3 linked regions of the Saccharomyces cerevisiae S288C genome follow. Changing the gene in region 1 together with any one later gene gives a genetic interaction. Each region holds a gene or a part of one and is shown in the gene's direction. Other genes may lie near its edges. The genes, in order: YGL185C, FBP26 and YKL162C.

Evidence for each region.
Region 2: mutations in YGL185C (region 1) and FBP26 together harm fitness more than expected from each alone (negative genetic interaction), as found in Saccharomyces cerevisiae (one large-scale study listed by BioGRID).
Region 3: mutations in YGL185C (region 1) and YKL162C together harm fitness more than expected from each alone (negative genetic interaction), as found in Saccharomyces cerevisiae (one large-scale study listed by BioGRID).

The regions. Positions count from the first base shown.
Region 1 is NC_001139.9:152,611-161,792, reverse strand, and holds YGL185C (putative hydroxyacid dehydrogenase), read left to right. Parts: upstream 1-7,486; coding exon 7,487-8,626; downstream 8,627-9,182. Other genes in the region: serine/threonine protein kinase ATG1, read right to left, coding at 1-1,728; GTS1 (Gts1p), read right to left, coding at 2,697-3,887; MND1 (Mnd1p), read left to right, coding at 4,508-4,510, 4,594-5,250; cystathionine beta-lyase STR3, read left to right, coding at 5,781-7,178; TPN1 (Tpn1p), read left to right, coding at 9,017-9,182.
Region 2 is NC_001142.9:128,830-132,429, reverse strand, and holds FBP26 (fructose-2,6-bisphosphatase), read left to right. Parts: upstream 1-1,786; coding exon 1,787-3,145; downstream 3,146-3,600. Other genes in the region: retromer subunit VPS35, read left to right, coding at 1-1,329; SSY5 (Ssy5p), read left to right, coding at 3,478-3,600. UniProt on the Saccharomyces cerevisiae protein: Monofunctional, high-specificity fructose-2,6-bisphosphatase, which releases phosphate from the 2-position of fructose 2,6-bisphosphate. Has no detectable 6-phosphofructo-2-kinase activity.
Region 3 is NC_001143.9:144,677-153,694, reverse strand, and holds YKL162C (type II protein arginine methyltransferase), read left to right. Parts: upstream 1-4,856; coding exon 4,857-6,065; downstream 6,066-9,018. Other genes in the region: ELF1 (Elf1p), read right to left, coding at 1-426; putative protein kinase KDX1, read left to right, coding at 3,008-4,309; PIR3 (beta-1,3-glucan linked protein), read right to left, coding at 8,317-9,018. UniProt on the Saccharomyces cerevisiae protein: Arginine methyltransferase involved in the assembly or stability of mitochondrial NADH:ubiquinone oxidoreductase complex (complex I).

The DNA.
Region 1 (9,182 bases):
TATTCTTAATATTATATTCTCAGTAAGTTCATGAAAAAGTTGGGAATTCAACAAAGTTTGACTGTACGGTGGGGAAGATGTGATTTGTTGCTGTTGCTGCTGTTGATTTGCACCACCAAACAATCTCGTTGATGCAATACCGAGGGCTCTTGATAATGCATTAGATGGATTCAGCGAGGATATAGACAAGCGTCTATCCACCAAAGATGGTCGCCTAGACCCATCACTACCTCCACTGGAAGATGATGTGGCCCTCAGTAACCTCGGATTTTCTCCTTGATTTTGAAAATACTGTTGATTGTTTGGAGAGAATTGCTCATTCAATAAGACGTTCTGATTTTGAGTTGAAGTTGGGTGCTTAATAGGATTTGGATTGAATCCTGCTTGAGCAACCTCGTCTGCCAATGAATTAACTTCAACCGATTTCTTCTCTACCACCACATATTCTCTTTCAAAGCTTCTATCTGAAACTAGGCTATTATGGTATTTATTATTTGAAGCCTTTTTATCTACGGCTTGTGTATGGTCTGTTTTAACGGCTGGGGCAGTTAATATATTGCTGTTCTTGAGGGCATCACTGAGCTCCGCGGGATTATCTGCCATTGATTGATGACCTGCAAGATTACTGTTCGGACTCTTTGGCTGTTTAGATAAATACTCAGAAACGAACATATTACTTTCTACAATACCTTTTGATTTGGATTCTAACTCAGGTAAATCATCTTCCAATTCATAAGAAGACAAGTCTTCGTTGACTACCTTGTTAGCAAAAAACTCCTCAAATCCTATTCTTTGGGCTGGATCAAATGTCAATAAACTACATATCAACTCTTTTAACTCTGGTTCAATATTGCAATATGAAGGAAACGTTATGACATCGTTTGCTCTTTTAATTTTCTTGAATAACTCCAAATGATTGGAAGCTCTAAACGGTGGGGTGCCACAGCACATTTCGAATACCACTGTACCGACAGACCACAGATCTGCTTTAGCGTTATATTTTTGATAATTCAAAATTTCTGGTGCCATATATAATGGTGAGCCACAAAGAGTTTCTGCTAATGACGTGTTTGGCAAAAATCTTGCAAACCCGAAATCTGCTATCTTTAAAATGGGTAAGTTGTAGATCCCAACAAATCCAAGTTCATGGAAGCTTTTTGAATCATGATATCCAATTAGGGGTGTAGATAATAGTAAGTTTTGAGGCTTGATGTCTCTATGAACCAAGTTTTTAGACCTCAAAAATTTCAAAGCGGACGCTAACTGCTGTAAATAACTCAAGACAAACGCTCTATGCAGGCCGTTATGGTTCTCACTCGGTGGAGGGTATTTTTCAAATACGGTCCTTAGTAGAGGATGATTCTCCATCAATTCTTTACGCCTTTTCAACAGAAATGTTAGGTCCCCAAGAGCACAGTACTCCATGATCAAATAAAAATCTGTTGATGTTCGTTCACAGTCAATAAGTCCGACGATATGAGGATGCTTGATTTTCTTCAAGATAGCGATTTCTATTTCCAAATTCTCTAGTAATTTCTTATTTTTTAATTTCGCCCTTGATACTTCCTTTATGGCTACATGCTGAGATTTGTCGGATGTCAGATGCCCTCTATATACAGTGGCAAACGAACCCTTTCCGATTTCTTTCTCAGCGGTGTAATTTCCTGCACTTGCCATTAGATTATGGTTCACAGAGGTTGTGTGATCTTTATTTTTAATGTCTCCCATTTTCTTAATTTCTCGTCTGGTGTTGTAAAAGAGATTTGAAAATATGGGGTAGCTTCAAATTCGTTTTGTGGAGATATCAATGATTATTCTCCTATCTCCTTTGCCTTATGTTTTTATTATATTATATGTTATTTTATTATGGGTACTATTACTACGATTGTATTATATCTTTTTATCTTCTATAGTACTGTTCTCTGTTTCCCCAGAAACTAAAAAGGGTAAAAGATGGCCTTGGTACTTAACTTAAAGGTGATGAAATGTGGCGTTCTAGAATTAACCTCGGCCTAAAAAATAAAAAGCTAAAAAAAAATAGTACGATCAGGAAGATATTAATAATATAAGCTCCTTTATGAGATGCTCGATTCCTTTTGTTGCCAACTAAATGACGCTTAGAATTCCATCGATTCCACGATCGATATAGTTACAAATCACAAACTGATGCTGATGGGGGAAATGGTTTAAGAAATCAGAGCCGAGCGGTTAAAAAGAAAAACAGATGCTTGAATACGAATGATATGCTTGCTTCTTTAACGGTATGGCTTTCCAGTAATAGTTACTCCGATAAGATTCATTACAGATACACGAAACGAACAAGGAAAAGATGATTAACGGGAAAAAAAGAGAGTTCCTTATCTCATTGATTTTAACTAGTGGGTTTTCCTTACATTACCGCCCAATCCCTTTTTTTTTTCTCGCTCTCACCGGCGGAGCGCGAGCGGAAAACGCCACCCAGGTGACTTTTGCGCTAAGTGTGGATCAAATACAGTGGTATTAGTCATTGATGTGCAGCGTAAAACGTCCGGAGCAGCTGTGTAATGCGGCTGTGTAGGGTGAATACAATAGAGAATATGACTAATTCTGGTATATAGTCGTTGTTTACAGATATCTTTCGTTACTTAGTGTCATTTAATTACTTAGTGTCACTCTATATGATATGTAATGCGGAGCAGCGGCAATGTATCTTATTTTTATTGTGTGTAGAAATAACCTTGTGGCAGGTTTCCTCCTTGCGACATTTGCTGAAAAGATAATGGCGCCTGTTGCTGTTGCTGCATCTGAAGCTGTTGCATCTGGATCTGCTGTGCTTGAGCCTGAGCCTGGGCCTGAGCCTGAGCCTGAGCCTGAACTTGAGCCTGTGCCTGTGCCTGTGCCTGAGCCTGAGCCTGTGCGACAGCAAGCTGTTGCTGTTGCTGTTGCTGCTGTTGCATAGCCATGGCGTATTGCTGCTGATCTACATATATCATTCCGGTAGCAGGATCGTAATACTGTTGAAGGGTACCATCGAAAACTGCTGGCTTTGCTTGTACAAAAGATGCTGAATTTGAAGTAAAATCTGGCGTGATTACATTTGTACCATCAAAAATAGCTGGCTGTGGGCCACTTGTTGTCGCACGTCTCCTGGGCAGGGGCGGAGTTGATGTTGTCGCTGCTGCCGATACACTATTTCTTGAACTTGAACTTTTTTCTAGATAATCGATTGCTCTATTGATATTTCCGTGAGCGGACGATAATGCATCTAAATTTTTGTTTGTATCACCGAAACCCATGTCCTTGAGTTCTGCCAGTTGCCTAGAATATCTGCTTCCACTGCTTTGGAATGAGTCCCTGGAACCGCCGTAGTCAGACCTATTATGGCCCCCTTTATAGAAAGAATGAGATCTGCTCCTGCTCCTACTTCTATTTCTTTCATCAAACCTGTCCGATTCCCCATCAAAATCATCCATTCTGGATCCAAAGTCTTCAGGCTTTATTTCATCATACCTGAATTTACCCAAAATATACTTGTCTCTAATGTAATGCTCCACGATGGCTTTGTCATCATCTCCATCAAAAGGAAAAGGGACATTTTTAGGATTCCAGAACCGAGCATTCCCCTTATTGCCTCCAAGACTCACTAATTCATCGATATCCTCTCTTGTCCATCTATCCATTGATAGTGATTTAACGTTAGAAAAGGCATCGTCGTCTCTGCTACCGAAAACTTTTCTATGAACAGAGGCACACCTACCACAAAGGAAAACCCCCAAATTAACTGAGCACCAAGTTGGGTAGAAATTACCACATTCACCGCATTTATTGGCATTCTCGGACGAATTAATCAACTCCTTTAATTCTCTGTCAACATGTTTTAAGCTATGGGAAGAACTCCTAAACCTCATTTTTGACTAAGTATAAATAAACTATAATCTGTGATTGACAGAACGCTGCCTCCATCTATATTAATGATTGATCAAGAGAAAATGTTCTTCTTCCACCCTTTTGTGAAGCATTTAGAGATCAACACTAACTTTCTTCAACTTACAATAATTTCCGGGTGCCCCCATTTATCGATTACCCGGATCCGCTTTGCATCATAGTGTGTCGTTGTCGAAACAAAAGCGCCGTATTATTTGGTCAACGTTTAATAAAGTAAAAGCAGCATTTGAGATGCTCTATACAACCTTCTTAATTGCAACCGACATAAAGGTATGTTTTTCTCTTCTTATTATGACAAGGGAAACTTGAAGAAGAATTCGTGTCTTGCCATAATTTCAGCATCATCGTCTCAACCTAAGCCTCTTCTCACGAAGGCACGCTCAAATATCTTTCTGGCTCTAAAAATCTTGAATAACGAACCGAATTTACCATCTTTCCTGCTTTTTTATGCGTCGAAAAAAAGTAAAATAACCGCCCAGATCACGAAATTGCATATAAAAGGCGATCTCCCGTCCCACCGTTATTCTTTGCGATATAGACTAAACGGCGGAAACTTTATGTGTAGTATCATAAACATTCAACAATGGTATGTCTAATAAAACCATCATGGTACACAGGACTGAACACTAACTTATAGACGGGTGCGTGCTACCCTCTTCTTATTATTAGGGGCCAAAGAGACAGACAGTATCACTCCAAGAGAAAAAGAACCGGATTCTGAACTTTTTTCAAGAGACGTACACATTCTACAACATCAAGGAATTAGAGAAAAGCATACCTAAAAAATGCGGAATCTCACCCATGATCGTTAAAGATTTAGTGCAACAAATGATTGATGAAGACGGCGTCATTTCGGTGGAAAAATGTGGTAATATTAACATCTACTGGTGCTTTAAAAATCAGACACTGCAAAAATTGTATGATTCAAGCGAGTTGATAAAAAAAAAGATACAGGAAGTAAAGTGTGATATTGCCACTTATAAACAAGAACTAGACAAAACGCTAGCAACTGGAAGGCGTAAAAAATTTACGGTAGGCCAAAAATCATACAATAGGGAGGCTCTACTGGAAAAGAGAAAAAAAATTCAGGATGAAATTAAGAAAAAGAGTAATAGTCTCCAAAAAATAGAAAGCATTAGATGGGATGCAGCAAAAATACAAGAGAATAAACAACAGATCCGCCTAAAAAAAGTGCATCTGGAGAAAACTACTGATAACATTGAGATTCTCATTGATTATTTATACAAGAAATTCTTTTTGAAGCCAGAACAGATAAGAAAAGAATTTGGAATTCCAGAAGAGTTCAAGGAATTTACGGAGGTTTAACCTTCATGCACTATACACGAAAGAACAAAAGTGTCTTGATTATTACATCTACATTTCCAGGCATAGAGCTTGCAGATTAGCCGCCCATAAATTTGCCACACTGTTTTCCGTGGCGCCACAGTCCGCGTTTGGTTATCCGGCTGACTCATTCTGACTCTTTTTTGGAAAGTGTGGCATGTGCTTCACACAATATAATTCCCGTGAGCACAGCATGCTTCGGGCCGAAGTCTGTTGGAGGCATATGCTCCTACCTTGGAAGACTCATCGCATCTCAAAAGTGTGTAAAGGGGCCTTCTGGCCATATATCCTCTGAGACCTGGTTGAAATGTGGCCAGAAGCAAAGCTGATAAAAACAACTGGCGCATACGTAGCTATATTTTAAATAAATAAATAAATAAATATATATATATATATATATATATATATACATATATATACAGTCATTGCCACACATCCCATAGCTCTGTGTGCTTACAGTTCATTAAAAACAAAAAATATCAAGCAAACAACAAAAGCATAGAAGCAAAAAGATGCCGATCAAGAGATTAGATACAGTTGTGGTAAATACCGGCTCTCAAAATGACCAACATTCAGCCTCCGTGCCACCGGTGTATTTGTCGACTACCTTCAAAGTGGACTTGAATAATGAAGATGCACAGAACTACGATTATTCCAGATCGGGAAACCCGACCAGAAGTGTCCTTCAACACCAGATTGGTAAGCTTTATCGTGTCCCACAGGAAAACGTATTAGCTGTGAGCAGTGGTATGACGGCGCTAGACGTCATCCTGCGTGGGCTCGTCTTACTTAACGGCACTGACAACCATACGCCAACAATAATAGCCGGCGATGATCTTTATGGAGGCACCCAAAGGCTGCTGAATTTTTTCAAGCAACAGAGTCATGCAGTCTCTGTTCATGTGGACACTTCCGATTTTGAAAAGTTCAAAACCGTTTTCCAGTCTTTAGATAAAGTTGATTGTGTTCTTCTAGAGTCTCCGACCAATCCGCTTTGCAAGGTTGTAGATATCCCTAGAATATTACGTTTTGTGAAATGCATATCTCCCGACACTACAGTTGTCGTTGATAATACTATGATGAGTGGACTCAATTGTAATCCTCTTCAACTGAATCCAGGCTGCGATGTCGTATACGAATCTGCTACCAAGTACTTGAATGGTCATCACGATTTGATGGGGGGTGTTATTATCAGCAAAACACCAGAAATAGCCTCGAAGCTTTACTTTGTCATTAATTCTACAGGAGCTGGATTATCCCCAATGGATTCTTGGCTACTTGTGAGGGGCCTAAAAACTCTAGGAGTTAGATTATATCAACAGCAGAGAAATGCTATGATATTGGCTCATTGGCTAGAAAATTCATGCGGATTCAAACCTACCAGAACAAACAAGGCTACGAAAACTAGATTTGTTGGATTACGCTCCAACCCGGATTTCAAGCTGCATAAATCGTTCAATAATGGCCCAGGTGCCGTGTTATCCTTCGAAACGGGGTCCTTCGAACATTCAAAGAGACTGGTCAGTTCCAAAAAACTGAGTATATGGGCTGTGACGGTATCTTTCGGGTGTGTAAATTCGCTTCTATCTATGCCTTGCAAAATGTCCCATGCTTCCATTGATCCCGAATTAAGGAAAGAGAGAGATTTTCCTGAAGATTTGGTTCGTCTTTGCTGCGGTATCGAAAATATAGTAGATTTGAAGAAAGATTTATTAGCGGCGATGGTTGACGCTGATATTATAGAAGTAAGAGAAAATGGCAAATATCTTTTCAACAAATTGAATAAGAACCTAGCTGTGAACACTACCATCGATGACCTGCATAAGCCTTTAAGTATTTACGAAGAATTTTACAATCAAGATCTCATCAGAAAGGACTCAGAATTGAATATTAAGAGTTCGAAATTGTAAGGGAAAATATGCATGTACCTTTTTTTTTTTTTTTTATAAGGTTCAAATCCAAAGATAGTAACTTTAAATAGTCAAGTATATAGACAGAATTTCAAGAACAGTAAGTATATTAAACTTTTACAGCCTTTCGGGCTGTTCCGTAAGCTCTTACTACTACCCTTGGGAAACGCACGCGCGAAGGAGGAAAGTTTGCCTCAATGAACGTGTGTAATGGCGGTCGTAAAAGGAATATAGAAATAGCTGTGCTTTTATAACTTCACTCGACAATGGGTTGACAGCAGATTTAGAAGGAAAAGAGCATACAAAAAATGTGCGATTCTCCTGCAACGACTGGAAAGCCTACTATTCTTTTCATCGCAGATCCGTGCGAAACATCAGCCACACTTAATTCCAAGGCATTCAAAGAGAAGTTCAGGATCTTGCGCTATCAGCTGGACACCAAAGAAGCATTTCTTAACTTTTTAGAAAGGCATGAACAAGACAAAATATGTGCCATTTATGCTGGGTTTCCGGCATTCAAAAAAATCGGTGGGATGACTCGAAGTATCATCGAACACAAGTCATTTCCAAGGAAAAATTTAAAATGTATCGTGCTTTGCTCAAGAGGTTACGACGGATGGGATCTGGATACATTACGCAAGCATGAAATTCGATTATACAACTACCAAGACGATGAAAATGAAAAATTGATAGACGATTTAAAGCTTCATCAAGTCGGTAATGATGTGGCAGATTGTGCCTTGTGGCACATTCTGGAGGGCTTTAGAAAGTTCTCCTATTACCAAAAACTTAGTAGAGAAACTGGAAATACATTAACTGCAAGGGCGAAAGCTGCAGAAAAGAGCGGATTTGCTTTTGGCCATGAACTGGGGAATATGTTTGCTGAATCACCAAGAGGAAAGAAATGCTTAATTCTTGGTTTAGGAAGTATTGGAAAGCAAGTAGCCTACAAGTTGCAATACGGGCTAGGAATGGAAATACATTATTGCAAAAGAAGCGAAGATTGCACAATGAGTCAAAACGAAAGCTGGAAATTTCATTTGCTAGATGAAACAATATATGCAAAACTATACCAGTTTCATGCAATCGTGGTCACATTGCCGGGAACTCCACAAACAGAACATTTAATCAACAGGAAATTTTTGGAACACTGCAATCCAGGCCTAATTTTAGTCAACTTGGGAAGAGGTAAAATTTTGGACTTGCGGGCTGTTTCTGACGCCTTGGTAACGGGACGAATCAACCATCTCGGTTTAGACGTCTTTAATAAAGAACCAGAAATAGATGAAAAAATCAGATCTTCTGATAGACTTACTTCAATTACTCCGCATTTGGGTAGTGCGACAAAGGATGTTTTTGAGCAAAGTTGTGAACTGGCATTGACAAGAATCTTACGGGTAGTGTCTGGGGAAGCCGCAAGCGATGAGCATTTCTCCCGTGTAGTTTGATAGTAAGAGACGTAAGAACCTTATGTTAACATACCTATATATACATATACGTCAACACACCAAGAAAAAAGAGCAGTGCGAGTTTTCGTATGCATTTGACTTCAAAAAGAAGTCAACATTAAGTGCCGTTTTTGTTTCGACAATGGATTGTAGTACAGTGCCCCGTAGGTGTATGACTCGTACTTGCGTGTAAGTAAATTTCGGATTTGTTCGCCGCACCTTATCTCACCTGAAATTTTCTGCGTCAGGCTGCTTTGATGGTGTCTAAGAGAAGGCCATTAAAAAAGAGAACAGATGTTGAGGTTCTCAGTATAAAAATATTACTGTTGAATATTATTAGCTTTATAGAGTATTTATCAAAGAACAGGACTTGAAAAACTTCGATCATAGATGAATAGGGACAACATGGACACAACAAAGCGCAAAGAAGATCATACAAAGCATACTACTGATGTAATAGAATTTTACGAAGAAGGAACCGCAGCTTCTTCTTTAAACATAGCCACAGAAAAGGCCAACTCAAGTCCGTCCATTTTGAGAAGAATTATCAACAGGG
Region 2 (3,600 bases), on another chromosome or scaffold:
AATGTTGCATCCTCGGATACAAATGTAGACGAAGTGTTTTTTAATCGACATGATGAAGAAGAATCCTGGATACTGGACCCAATACAGGAAAAGTTGGCACATTTGATTCATTGGATAATGAACACTACTTCTCGGAAACAAACAATGAAAAACAAAATTCAATTTAGCTTAGAAGCCCAATTGGAAATATTACTTCTTATTAAATCTTCGTTCATTAAAGGTGGCATCAATGTTAAATACACTTTTCCAGCAATAATCACAAATTTTTGGAAACTGATGAGGAAATGCCGTATGATACAAGAGTACCTTTTGAAAAAAAGACCCGATAACAAGACGTTACTTTCCCATTATTCCAATCTTTTAAAGCAAATGTTTAAATTTGTTTCTCGTTGTATCAATGATATCTTTAATTCTTGCAACAACTCATGCACAGATCTGATTCTGAAACTGAATTTACAATGTGCCATTCTAGCTGATCAATTGCAATTAAACGAAATTTCATATGATTTTTTCTCACAGGCCTTCACAATATTTGAAGAGTCTCTAAGTGATTCAAAGACTCAGTTACAGGCTTTAATATATATTGCTCAGTCTTTACAAAAGACAAGATCACTCTACAAAGAAGCTTATTATGATTCTTTGATTGTCAGATGCACACTCCATGGATCCAAATTATTAAAGAAACAAGACCAATGTCGTGCTGTTTATTTATGCTCCCACCTCTGGTGGGCAACGGAAATTTCAAATATTGGTGAGGAAGAAGGTATCACAGACAACTTCTACAGAGATGGTAAACGGGTGTTAGAATGTCTACAAAGGTCTCTCCGTGTGGCGGATTCTATAATGGATAACGAACAGAGTTGTGAGCTAATGGTCGAAATATTAAATAGATGCCTCTACTATTTTATTCACGGGGATGAGTCCGAAACTCATATATCGATAAAATACATCAATGGTCTGATCGAACTAATCAAAACAAACTTAAAATCGCTAAAACTAGAAGATAACAGTGCCTCTATGATTACCAACTCAATCAGTGATTTGCACATCACCGGAGAAAATAATGTGAAGGCAAGCAGTAATGCTGACGATGGCTCTGTAATCACAGATAAGGAATCAAATGTTGCCATAGGATCGGATGGTACGTATATTCAATTAAATACTCTGAACGGATCTTCCACGCTAATACGCGGAGTCGTAGCAACTGCTTCAGGTAGTAAATTACTGCACCAACTGAAGTATATCCCAATCCACCATTTTCGACGCACTTGTGAGTACATTGAAAGTCAAAGAGAAGTTGACGATCGTTTCAAAGTCATATATGTATAGTTAAATAACGTACTTGCTCTTCGTACATGCCCAAGATAAAAAAAAACTACACAAATAAAGCTAATAAAAATTTACCTAAAGAAGGATCATAGATTAAGTGGAAGGAAACTTGTACATAATTCGAGTTTATTTTCAACTAAGATATCAAGGATTGTTTACTATAAAAACACTTAATTGGGTAATTTCTATTTTTTACTTTTTTTCTGTGTTAAAAAAATGGGTCGCGCCAATGCGCTCACAAATCTATTCTTATCCCTAACTTACATCTACATGTAAAGCGCCACTAAGAGAGCTATAGCTTATCATACATTTACATCAGGTAAAGTATCATTTTGGCCAGTGGATACGAATTTAATATATAATCTTTGCTTTCCCTTCGCTCTTAAATTCACCAAGCAAGTTTGTTAAGAAATAAAGGAAAGGGGGCTCAAAAACCGAATCAAGTAAGACAAGAAACATGGGGTACAGTACTATTTCCAACGATAATGATATCAAAGTATGTGTGATAATGGTTGGCCTACCAGCTAGAGGAAAGTCTTTTATTTCCCAAAAAATTATCAGGTACTTATCGTGGTTATCCATAAAAGCCAAGTGTTTTAATGTGGGAAATTACAGAAGAGACGTGAGTGGAAATGTCCCAATGGATGCTGAGTTTTTTAACTTCGAAAATACAGATAATTTTAAACTCAGAGAATTGGCTGCCCAAAATGCCATAAAAGATATTGTTAATTTTTTTACTAAAGAAGACGGATCTGTGGCAGTTTTCGATGCTACTAATAGTACACGTAAAAGAAGGAAATGGCTTAAAGATATATGTGAAAAGAATAATATTCAACCGATGTTTTTAGAGAGCTGGAGTAACGATCATGAACTGATTATAAATAACGCTAAGGATATCGGTAGCACATCTCCTGATTATGAAAACTCTGAACCTCATGTGGCGGAAGCTGATTTTTTGGAAAGAATTAGACAATATGAAAGATTTTATGAACCTTTGGACCCCCAAAAAGATAAGGATATGACGTTCATTAAGTTGGTCAATATTATTGAAGAAGTAGTAATTAATAAGATCAGAACATATTTGGAAAGTAGGATTGTATTTTATGTTATGAATATTCGTCCTAAACCAAAATATATCTGGCTCTCCCGTCACGGCGAATCGATCTATAACGTAGAGAAAAAAATTGGCGGGGATTCATCACTGTCTGAAAGAGGCTTTCAGTACGCTAAAAAATTGGAGCAGTTAGTGAAAGAGAGCGCAGGAGAAATAAATTTGACCGTGTGGACTTCCACCTTAAAAAGAACACAACAAACGGCAAATTATCTTCCCTATAAGAAACTGCAATGGAAAGCACTTGATGAATTAGACGCTGGCGTTTGTGACGGAATGACGTATGAGGAAATTGAAAAAGAATATCCTGAAGATTTTAAAGCACGTGATAATGACAAATACGAGTACAGATATCGTGGTGGAGAATCATACAGAGATGTAGTGATTCGTTTAGAGCCCGTCATTATGGAATTGGAGCGCCAAGAAAATGTTCTCATTATAACTCATCAAGCCGTACTTCGGTGTATATATGCATATTTTATGAACGTTCCACAGGAGGAATCCCCTTGGATGTCAATCCCACTACACACATTGATCAAGCTGGAGCCTAGGGCCTATGGCACAAAGGTCACCAAAATTAAAGCAAACATCCCTGCAGTGAGTACATATAAAGAGAAGGGTACAAGCCAAGTAGGTGAGCTTTCTCAAAGCTCAACTAAACTTCATCAACTGCTCAATGACTCTCCTTTGGAAGACAAATTTTAAATTTTACTTTTTATTTTTGTGTATCTTAAGTCCAAGCTTACTTGTGGCTGATACGCACAATCTTTTATGTACGAAAAGATCAGGAAACGTAGCATTGATGGTTTTTTATGTACGTCTGCAGCATTGTATGTAATTATTACCCAAACTAATTTTAAGTGAAATTGTAGAACGCCGCGGCGGAAGTATTTTTGAGTAAAAAAAAAAAAGTAAGATTCGAAAATGAAATTATACAGTACAGAAAACGTAAATATACAATAAAGGTTGAATAAACATACTAGATATCCTCCTTTCTTTTTGCATGTACATAGTACTGGTGTAAACTCGATATACCGATGGTCAGATTTTTTGGTTTAAACAAGAAAAAGAACGAAGAAAAGGAAAATACAGACTTGCCTGCAGACAATGAACAAAACGCAGCAGAAACGTCGTCTAGCAACGTATCTGGAAATGAAGAA
Region 3 (9,018 bases), on another chromosome or scaffold:
ACTATCTACCAAGGCGCCTCTGCCTCTTTTAACTTGGCCTATCCTCTCCTCGTCCGAGTCTACCTCCTCTTCATCAGAATCTATTTCGCCATCATTTTGCGTTTTAGCATCTTGCTCTGAATCACTTTCGTAATCACTATCAGAACCTTCGTCACCATCATCTGTGTCACTTCCACGGCCAGAATTGACTTCTTCGACGGCGTCAAACCAATCACTATATACATCAACAGGCTGTGATAATGAATTTATGCGCGTTTGGAACGACTGCCCACAAATCTTGCACGATAAAGTTCCTATACTATTTTTTTTGTCCAGAGTGCATGAAACTGATTTTTCATGATTACAAAATAAACAATTGAATTTCGTATCTAATTTTTGGACCAGTCTCTTGGTAGGCTTTCTTGTTGACTTCTTTCTTTTACCCATGGCTCGTTAATTGTTTTCAGTGTTTTTTATGACATTCTTCTTCATAATTCTCCCCATCTTTATTACTATTCCTTTTCCAATTATTTGTAGATTATTGCTTTACCAAAGTTTAATCATTTTAAACGTTTTTGTTTCTTCCGTTTTCAGAATTTTTACAATTTGTCACCGAAATAGCAGTTTTTGTTTAATTTTAACGCTATGGGGTAAAAATTTTGGGCCCAATTTCAACTGAAAGAAGAGATATTTTAAATATGATAAGATAATCTTATAACTACGAATTTATTATTTTGTACGTGTCATAATAAATAAGGAAGTGCCTGAAGAGCGTTAAGTAACTTTGGAATCTTCGTTATGAAAACATTGGCTATTTGTTTCAGAAAAAAGCCGTTTAAGTACTTAAAAGAATAGTTATGTTTATATAGGTATGGTGACGAGGCTCTACATAGGACTAATAATGGTGATTTCCCGTCCAGTTTGGTTTACCCTCGTACCATCAAAAGCCTACAAATTCACAGGAAAATCGAAAAAAGATCCTTTCAAAGGTATTTTTCGTCGTGGTTTATTTCCAATGTTGTCATCTTTTTGTCTAACATCTCTCCCACCGATTTTGTCTCACTAACGCGATGATTTTGAATAGGAATGTAGTTTGAACTGTGAAATCATGACAGAATAAGCATGTTACATATAAATATTGGTTACCGTATTTCTTACGCTAGCATACTTCAAGTGTCTTTTGTACTTCTTAAGTTCTTTTGTTTTTGGATAATGATTTAATGCGACACATTGAAAAGGATAATGAATTCTTGCTGGGAACCTCGAACCAAATATTGTGACCTGGAAATGTTGTGTGCAAGACACCGTGAAATCACGCAATAAGACATATCTATACCGTGACAACTCCAAAAAATCCTAAAAACGGCAATTACGTGCAGAAGAATAACGGAAGTTCAGATAGTGGAGAGAAGAATTTATTCTTGTCCCTAAAATGCCCACCAGAGCAGCACTTCTAGTAAGCACATGCATGCTCCACCGCAAATCATCATATTGACGGTATCACACTATAAAAGAATAAAACATGTTGCAAGGCATAATTACTACCGAATTGCAAAAAATTGAACACCAACTTAGCGTGGTTCTATCAGAGAACGACATATCAATTCCTCACAATGAAAAACTAACTGACTAGAATACTTCCACTTTGGTGCCGCATTTGATGAAACAGCAAATAATACCTACACTTAAGTTGAATGAAGATTTCGTTTTCTTTGAGATAGCTCGAGGACATTCACGAAAGAAAAAATTTTAAAGAACAGTTTATAAGCTCTTTTTTAGAATCCTATTCTGTTTACTTCACTGTTCACTTACTTTCGGTCCCACATCTACAAAACATCTACAACAAGAACGTGGGCGATACAGCAAAAAATCACTTGAAATAACAGAATCAAGTTTCTTATCCGATTTCCTACTTTTGAGCTCCGGCTTATGTTGAAGATGTTACTTTTCTTTGTCTCTAAGTGATCTTTATTTTTCTGGCTCCAGTGAAATTTGGTAATAGCATAGTCACTTCAACTAAAGTCTGATAGTAATACTTGCAAATATTGCAAAACTTGGAAGAATGTTAATGAATCATTTCTTGCACCATTCTTTCAATCATCTCAATCTCCTGCTGTGATGTTTAAGTATAACATTGAAGACTATGCCCTAATTTCCAATGTTATTTAGTTTTAAGCATATCTTTGTTTCTAACAGGAAACTCAGGCCCACATCCGCAAAAAAATATGTGCCAAAAAACTTTCAACACTTCAAAGATACTTACCACTGCAGGAAAATAATCTACGTGTAACGGTTTGAAAATAAATTTGACTTCATAATTGGACATAAGTACTCCATCGCCATCCCTTTTTAAAGAAGTTTCCACAAGAATGAATGGCTAATCGCAACTAAATCTTTTCCTTGCAAACGTAACACAGTATCGACATTTTCTTACTCAATCCAACGAAGGAATAACCTATCTAAAAAATAAACGCCGTAGTTTTCAGCCCACAAGACGTCATTAAAAGATTTGTTAATTATAAAAATAGAAATATTTCTACCAGCATGATTATTCGTTACTTGAAAGTCCCCAATAAATTTCACTGTTTCCGTTAACTGTTGTAGTTATTAAACGCAGCAAACAGATTATTTTGAACAACACCGGAGAAACACGCGCAGACCCATTCGAGTTAAAAATAGTAACTCGCGATCAATCAATGCAGGAAGCACCGTAGGAATTAGTAAGAACTCGTATTTTGATTGAAAATGCCATGAAAGCAATTGACTTGCTGCAGTAAAAAGCGCTGCCACAAACTTTGTAATTTTCGACAATGACGTTCTTTTCAGATGGTTACTGTCTTTTTTTGGAAGAAACAAAAGAAGGTACTTTTATGATGTTATACTAGGCAAAAAGCCTATTTAATGTAAGTCCTAATTGTCGTTTGAGACTGGATGAAAAGGGACAAAATGGAAGGATAACTAAAGGTGACTTACCGCCAGATTAATTCGGCCTGGAATAGTTTGATATCGAAGAAAGATTCACAATTAAATGGCGACTGACACCGAGAGGTGTATTTTCCGTGCATTCGGCCAAGATTTTATCCTAAATAAACATTTTCATTTGACAGGTAAGATTGGTCGGGGCTCACACAGCCTTATTTGTTCTTCAACTTACACAGAATCGAACGAGGAAACTCACGTGGCTATCAGAAAAATACCAAACGCGTTTGGCAATAAACTATCTTGCAAGAGAACTCTTCGTGAATTGAAACTACTAAGACATTTAAGAGGGCACCCAAATATAGTGTGGCTCTTCGATACTGATATAGTATTTTACCCAAATGGGGCACTAAATGGCGTTTATTTATATGAAGAACTAATGGAATGTGACCTTTCTCAAATTATAAGGTCCGAACAACGCCTGGAAGACGCACACTTTCAAAGCTTCATATATCAGATACTGTGTGCTCTGAAATACATACATTCTGCTAATGTTTTACATTGTGACCTGAAACCAAAAAACTTACTTGTTAATAGTGATTGCCAACTAAAAATTTGTAATTTTGGGCTATCGTGTAGTTATTCAGAAAACCACAAGGTTAACGACGGCTTCATTAAGGGTTATATAACCTCGATATGGTATAAAGCACCAGAAATTTTGCTGAATTATCAAGAATGCACAAAAGCTGTCGATATTTGGTCAACAGGCTGTATCTTGGCCGAACTACTTGGTAGGAAACCAATGTTTGAAGGGAAGGATTATGTAGATCATTTGAATCATATTCTACAAATACTTGGAACACCACCTGAGGAAACATTGCAGGAAATTGCCTCTCAAAAGGTGTATAATTATATCTTTCAGTTCGGTAATATCCCGGGAAGATCGTTTGAAAGCATACTACCTGGTGCTAATCCAGAAGCGCTTGAATTGCTAAAGAAAATGCTAGAATTTGATCCTAAAAAAAGGATTACTGTAGAGGATGCACTAGAGCATCCATATTTGTCAATGTGGCATGATATAGATGAGGAATTCTCATGTCAAAAGACCTTTAGATTCGAATTCGAGCATATCGAAAGTATGGCGGAATTAGGAAACGAAGTTATAAAGGAAGTATTTGATTTCAGGAAAGTTGTTAGAAAACATCCTATTAGCGGTGATTCCCCATCATCATCACTATCTTTAGAGGATGCCATTCCTCAAGAAGTTGTACAGGTCCATCCTTCTAGGAAAGTTTTACCCAGTTATAGTCCTGAATTTTCCTATGTAAGCCAACTTCCATCACTAACTACAACCCAGCCATATCAAAACCTTATGGGAATAAGCTCTAATTCATTTCAGGGTGTTAACTAAAAGGAAAACACCTTCAAACAAGATACTAAGCATGAAAATAGTGAACTACTGAACGGACCTACTGAGCCAAATATAACAAAAATGAGCCCAGTTTCATCGTCTCCCCCAGGTCACGATATAAATGTCAATGATGGTACAAACCAAAATACAAATGAGGATGACAGCGATTTTTTCTTCGACCTAGAAAAAGAACTTGAATTATTTAGACGATAAATTTTTGTAGCAGAAAACCACAACTAATAGATGCGCACATACACTATCTATAATGAATATGTAAAATGCCTGTTCACCTTCTTAATTATTGGTATATACTTCAAATATTGCAAAAAGAGAAAGTCCTCTCGGCGGTTTTGCAGTTCCTTCCGAAAGCGGGAAAAACCAAAATGTGAGAAAGTAGGATACACCATTGCGTAGATTCGCGATGATCCGAATATAAACATGATTCCCTCGTCAGTCCTCTCTCAAGTTTTCTTTCCCGTTTTAAATAGCTTACTAATATTTTCACAAAAAAGTTGATATCATTTAAAGGTGCTTTTGGCGGGATTGAATGATGAAAAGATTACACCCCTTGAGAATTCAAGTTCATCTGAAATCTGATTACCCACTGTTTACTTTCGAGCAATTACTCTCTACAAATGGGATAAGAAGAGGCCAAACTGCGAGAATTTCTTTGAAAGATTACATAGAGTGGCAAAATTTCCCAAACATAATGAAAAGAGAAAATTTTTTTACGCAAAGGAAGCCTGTAACTACAACCGCAAAAGAAGAACCCTTTTCATTTGATAACATTCTTGACTGTGAGCCACAATTTAGCAAATGCCTTGCCAAATGGCTACTGGTTAATTACAAATTAAATGACTATCCTTATTACGATCTTAACATTGTGAATATTTACACGGATTTACCCCAAGCAATTCAGATTTGCAAAAATTTAATGTCATATCTCAAGTCTACTTTATCTGATAACATGTTCCAGAAAATAAAATATTTCATGGTACCTCTATACAAGTGTGACAAAATACCTTCGAAGCTCTTAGACGGAATACCTGGATCAGTCAGTTTGGTACAAGATTATCCGGTTTCCCCATATTTTTTACAGAAAAAATTTCACATAGAGGATCCAATCCAAATTTTGATGCTTAATGATGTTATAAAATACACAACCCACGATTTAGTAAGGTACTCTTCAGATGACAAAGGGTGGCAACAGTGCTTTGTGGATATCAATAAGAATGGACAAAAATCCAAGAGCTTTGATAGCGCCATTGACTACTCATGTGAACTTGCATTAGAACAAATGTTCAATGATCGATCCCATGTAAGTCCTGGTAAAGAACTTTATATCCCCACTAAATTAATTGAGATATTGATGACAATCAAGAATAATATTCCAGAACATAGACTTTTCATTGTAGACACCCCGCAAAGATCGAGCCCAACAATAATATCGTTATTAAAGAGTTTAATAAGCCCACGGCCGACGGGATCTAGCCAGATAGTACAGCCATATTCGGATTCAATATTTTCAGACAAACGGAGTGGAAGAATATGCTTCATGACGGACTTCTTACAGTTACAGAACATTTATAATGGTATTAACAGTTCTTCTAGTAGCTGCGAAGTCGAAGACGTTGCTGATTTTGTTGAAAAATGGATTAGCCCAAGTGAGAGAAGCACACTTTCGTCGCAGAATGGAAATAGGCCTCAACTAGAAGACATAAAAAATAGCTCTTTGGCGGTGCTACACTCCACGTGATTTCTTTTATTTCGTTGAATTAAAATGAAGACGTTTTTTACAGTAAGCGACCTTAATCTTTGTTTCTATTATCTACACTTTTACGTTTAGTATATTCATTTCATAGGCAGTAGGCATTCTTTTAAGAAAAACATAGCGCGCATATCTTCTCCTCTTTTGTTTCGCAACTCCCAAACAAGATATCAATTTCCCACCACTCTAACGAATGCGAATAGTAACCCCATATTTAAATAATACTATAAGGGTATTCGTACGAGGTAGGATTTTCAGTAGACCAAATAGCCTTCAACGACATCATAAGTACACACTGAGTCTAAGCATTGAACTTTCATATGAATATATGGGACTATAAGAGATGGGTGTGAAGAGAAAGACAAATTTGGGTTGAAGAGTTATAATTAGCCTTATGCAGGTCTCGCTCGCATATTCTTAACTCAATAGGAGCAATTTCTTCCATAAGCTTATATCCATATCCGGTCATTTTCTTCATTTGTGCCTGTAAACGCATATGATTTTTTTTTCTTAGGCACGTTCTGCGTGAAAATTTCCTGTTGCGGATGAGTAAGGTGTTCGTTCTACTTCAAAACTCCGTCGCAAATTTAAGTTTAATCTTGTAAATTGCCTAATACGTCATACGTCAATACATGATTCGCGTTCTTTTTTTTCCATCTTGCTAACGCGAACCTAAACGGTGCGACAAAAAGCCACTGGGCTTAATCGCTTAACAGAGCTACCGATTCTGCTTGATCTATTGACAATTTAACGTAGACTACGTAAAAAGTATATATGCATATATTAATCGATGCCTGCGCAATGTTGCTAACACTTTTCCACTTTATGTCGCTATCTTGCCCTCTTTAAGGAAGTTGCATCCTTTTATTTAGTATATTTTTTATATTCACAGAAGTTCAGAGAGTAAAAGTACAACATAATTACTAAATGGTGTCTTTTTCGGGAAAGGAAAGCCATGTAGCCCAAATATATTGGTTTGATAACAGTTTCACTATACTGTTTCTGCCCAACAGTATATGCCAAGTGAGCCATGGTCAACCTTAACTCCTTCTGCTACTACCTCATGCGGCGCTACTGAATTTACTTCCTTCTTCGGTATCACTGTCCAAACAATTACAACAGGATCTACCACGGTTAAGAGAGACGTTTTTTCTTAGATCGTTGACGGCCAAATTGAAATCATTGCTATCCCCACAAAAAACAGTGCATGTACTTTGATTAGTAAAAAAAATACTGAATCACGACCACTTTAATCGGAACCTACATAGATACGATTAAAGAGGGAGCCACAGCAATCACTGTTACTGACTTCTCTATTTATTCCGATAAAAAAAGCACCTCTACATTGCCGTTATCGCTTAGTATTTCTTCTGCCATCTCTTTTTTCTTTTCTTACGTTACATGTCAAGGCATTGCTGCTGTTTCTAAAAAAAAAGCTGTCGTAGCAGTGACAGCGCTTTGAAAGTAACTTTGAAGAGCGGCATTTTGACAGATAGCAAGGGCAGCATCTGTTCTACTGTTGCCAACAGACAATTCCAATTCGATGACCCTCCACCACAAGTTGGTGTTATCTATGCTCCTGGGGTTGTCTATCACACCAGAAGGGGATCTGCCCCTTAGTGGCCAAGATATCTTTTATCAATACTCGTTCAGCAGTTTTTACAATATACACGACGAAAGGATTAGAGAACAATGAAGTTAAGTCTACCTACAAGCTTTTTCCTTGGTCAGTTGCTAAACTATCTTTTGGCATTCCAGCTGAGTGCTTTTCTATACCTTAAGCGCTCCTTTGCTATCGCAGCTAGCTTCACAAATTTTTTCTCAGGGAAAGCTTCTGCAATTGCGACTAAGTTGAAAGATAAAATATAAAGTATTATAAACGATATTTTTATAGCAGGACCACCTAATAGCATACAAATAGCTATAAGTATGTTTGATTCTGAATTATATTTAGGTAATTATGTATCATAAAATTTTTTTTTTTACAATTAAAAAGGTACGACATGTAAATCTGAGTAAATTCTATAACTATTTTTATTATAGCGACGAACGATAATGTGTGAAAACGTGATGCTTTCTCGAGCAAACGCTAAATGAATGCAAAGAACGAGGAAAGGTTTGGAAATAAAGACATGCTAAATGAAAAGGATGCCATAAAACAAGTTTATGTGTGGGGAATGAGAGTGGCAACTAATTCGTGAAGTTAAAGGAGGACGACTCCGATTGATCGATGCATCGTTCAACAGTCAATTAAATCTATAGCTTGCAAATAAACTTCATGGCACTGAGAACCAATGTGCTTATCATACAAGTTATAGAAGTCACCAGACAAACATTGGTAAAAAGTATCCTGGTCACCAAGAGCTAAGTTACCTTCTGGGGTGATGGACCAACCAGCAGCATAGATAGCACCAGCTTGTGGTGGAGGACCATCGAATTGGAACTGTCTGTTGGCAACGATAGAGCCAATTCTACCCTTCCTATCGGTTAAGATACCCTTGCTTAAACTCATTGACAAGGTACTATTGTTATTACAGGAAACAACATCGACTGGATCGTTAGCGTCTTTCACTTCAGCAGTAGCCTGGACTTGGCCATCACTTACTTGACTAGCGCCACTGGTAGTTTTAGATGCTTGTATCTGCCCATCTGTAATTTGGGATGCAGCAGCCTTAGTAGAGGTAGTGGCCTGAACTTGGCCGTCAGAAATCTGAGAGGCAGCGGCAGCAGTAGACTTGGCAGCTTGAACTTGACCATCAGTTATTTGAGAAACGGCAGCGGCAGTAGACTTAGCAGCTTGAACTTGACCGTCAGTTATTTGAGAAACGGCAGCGGCAGTAGACTTAGCAGCTTGAACTTGACCGTCAGTTATTTGGGAAACAGCAGCGGCAGTAGACTTAGCAGCTTGAACTTGACCGTCAGTTATTTGAGAAACAGCAGC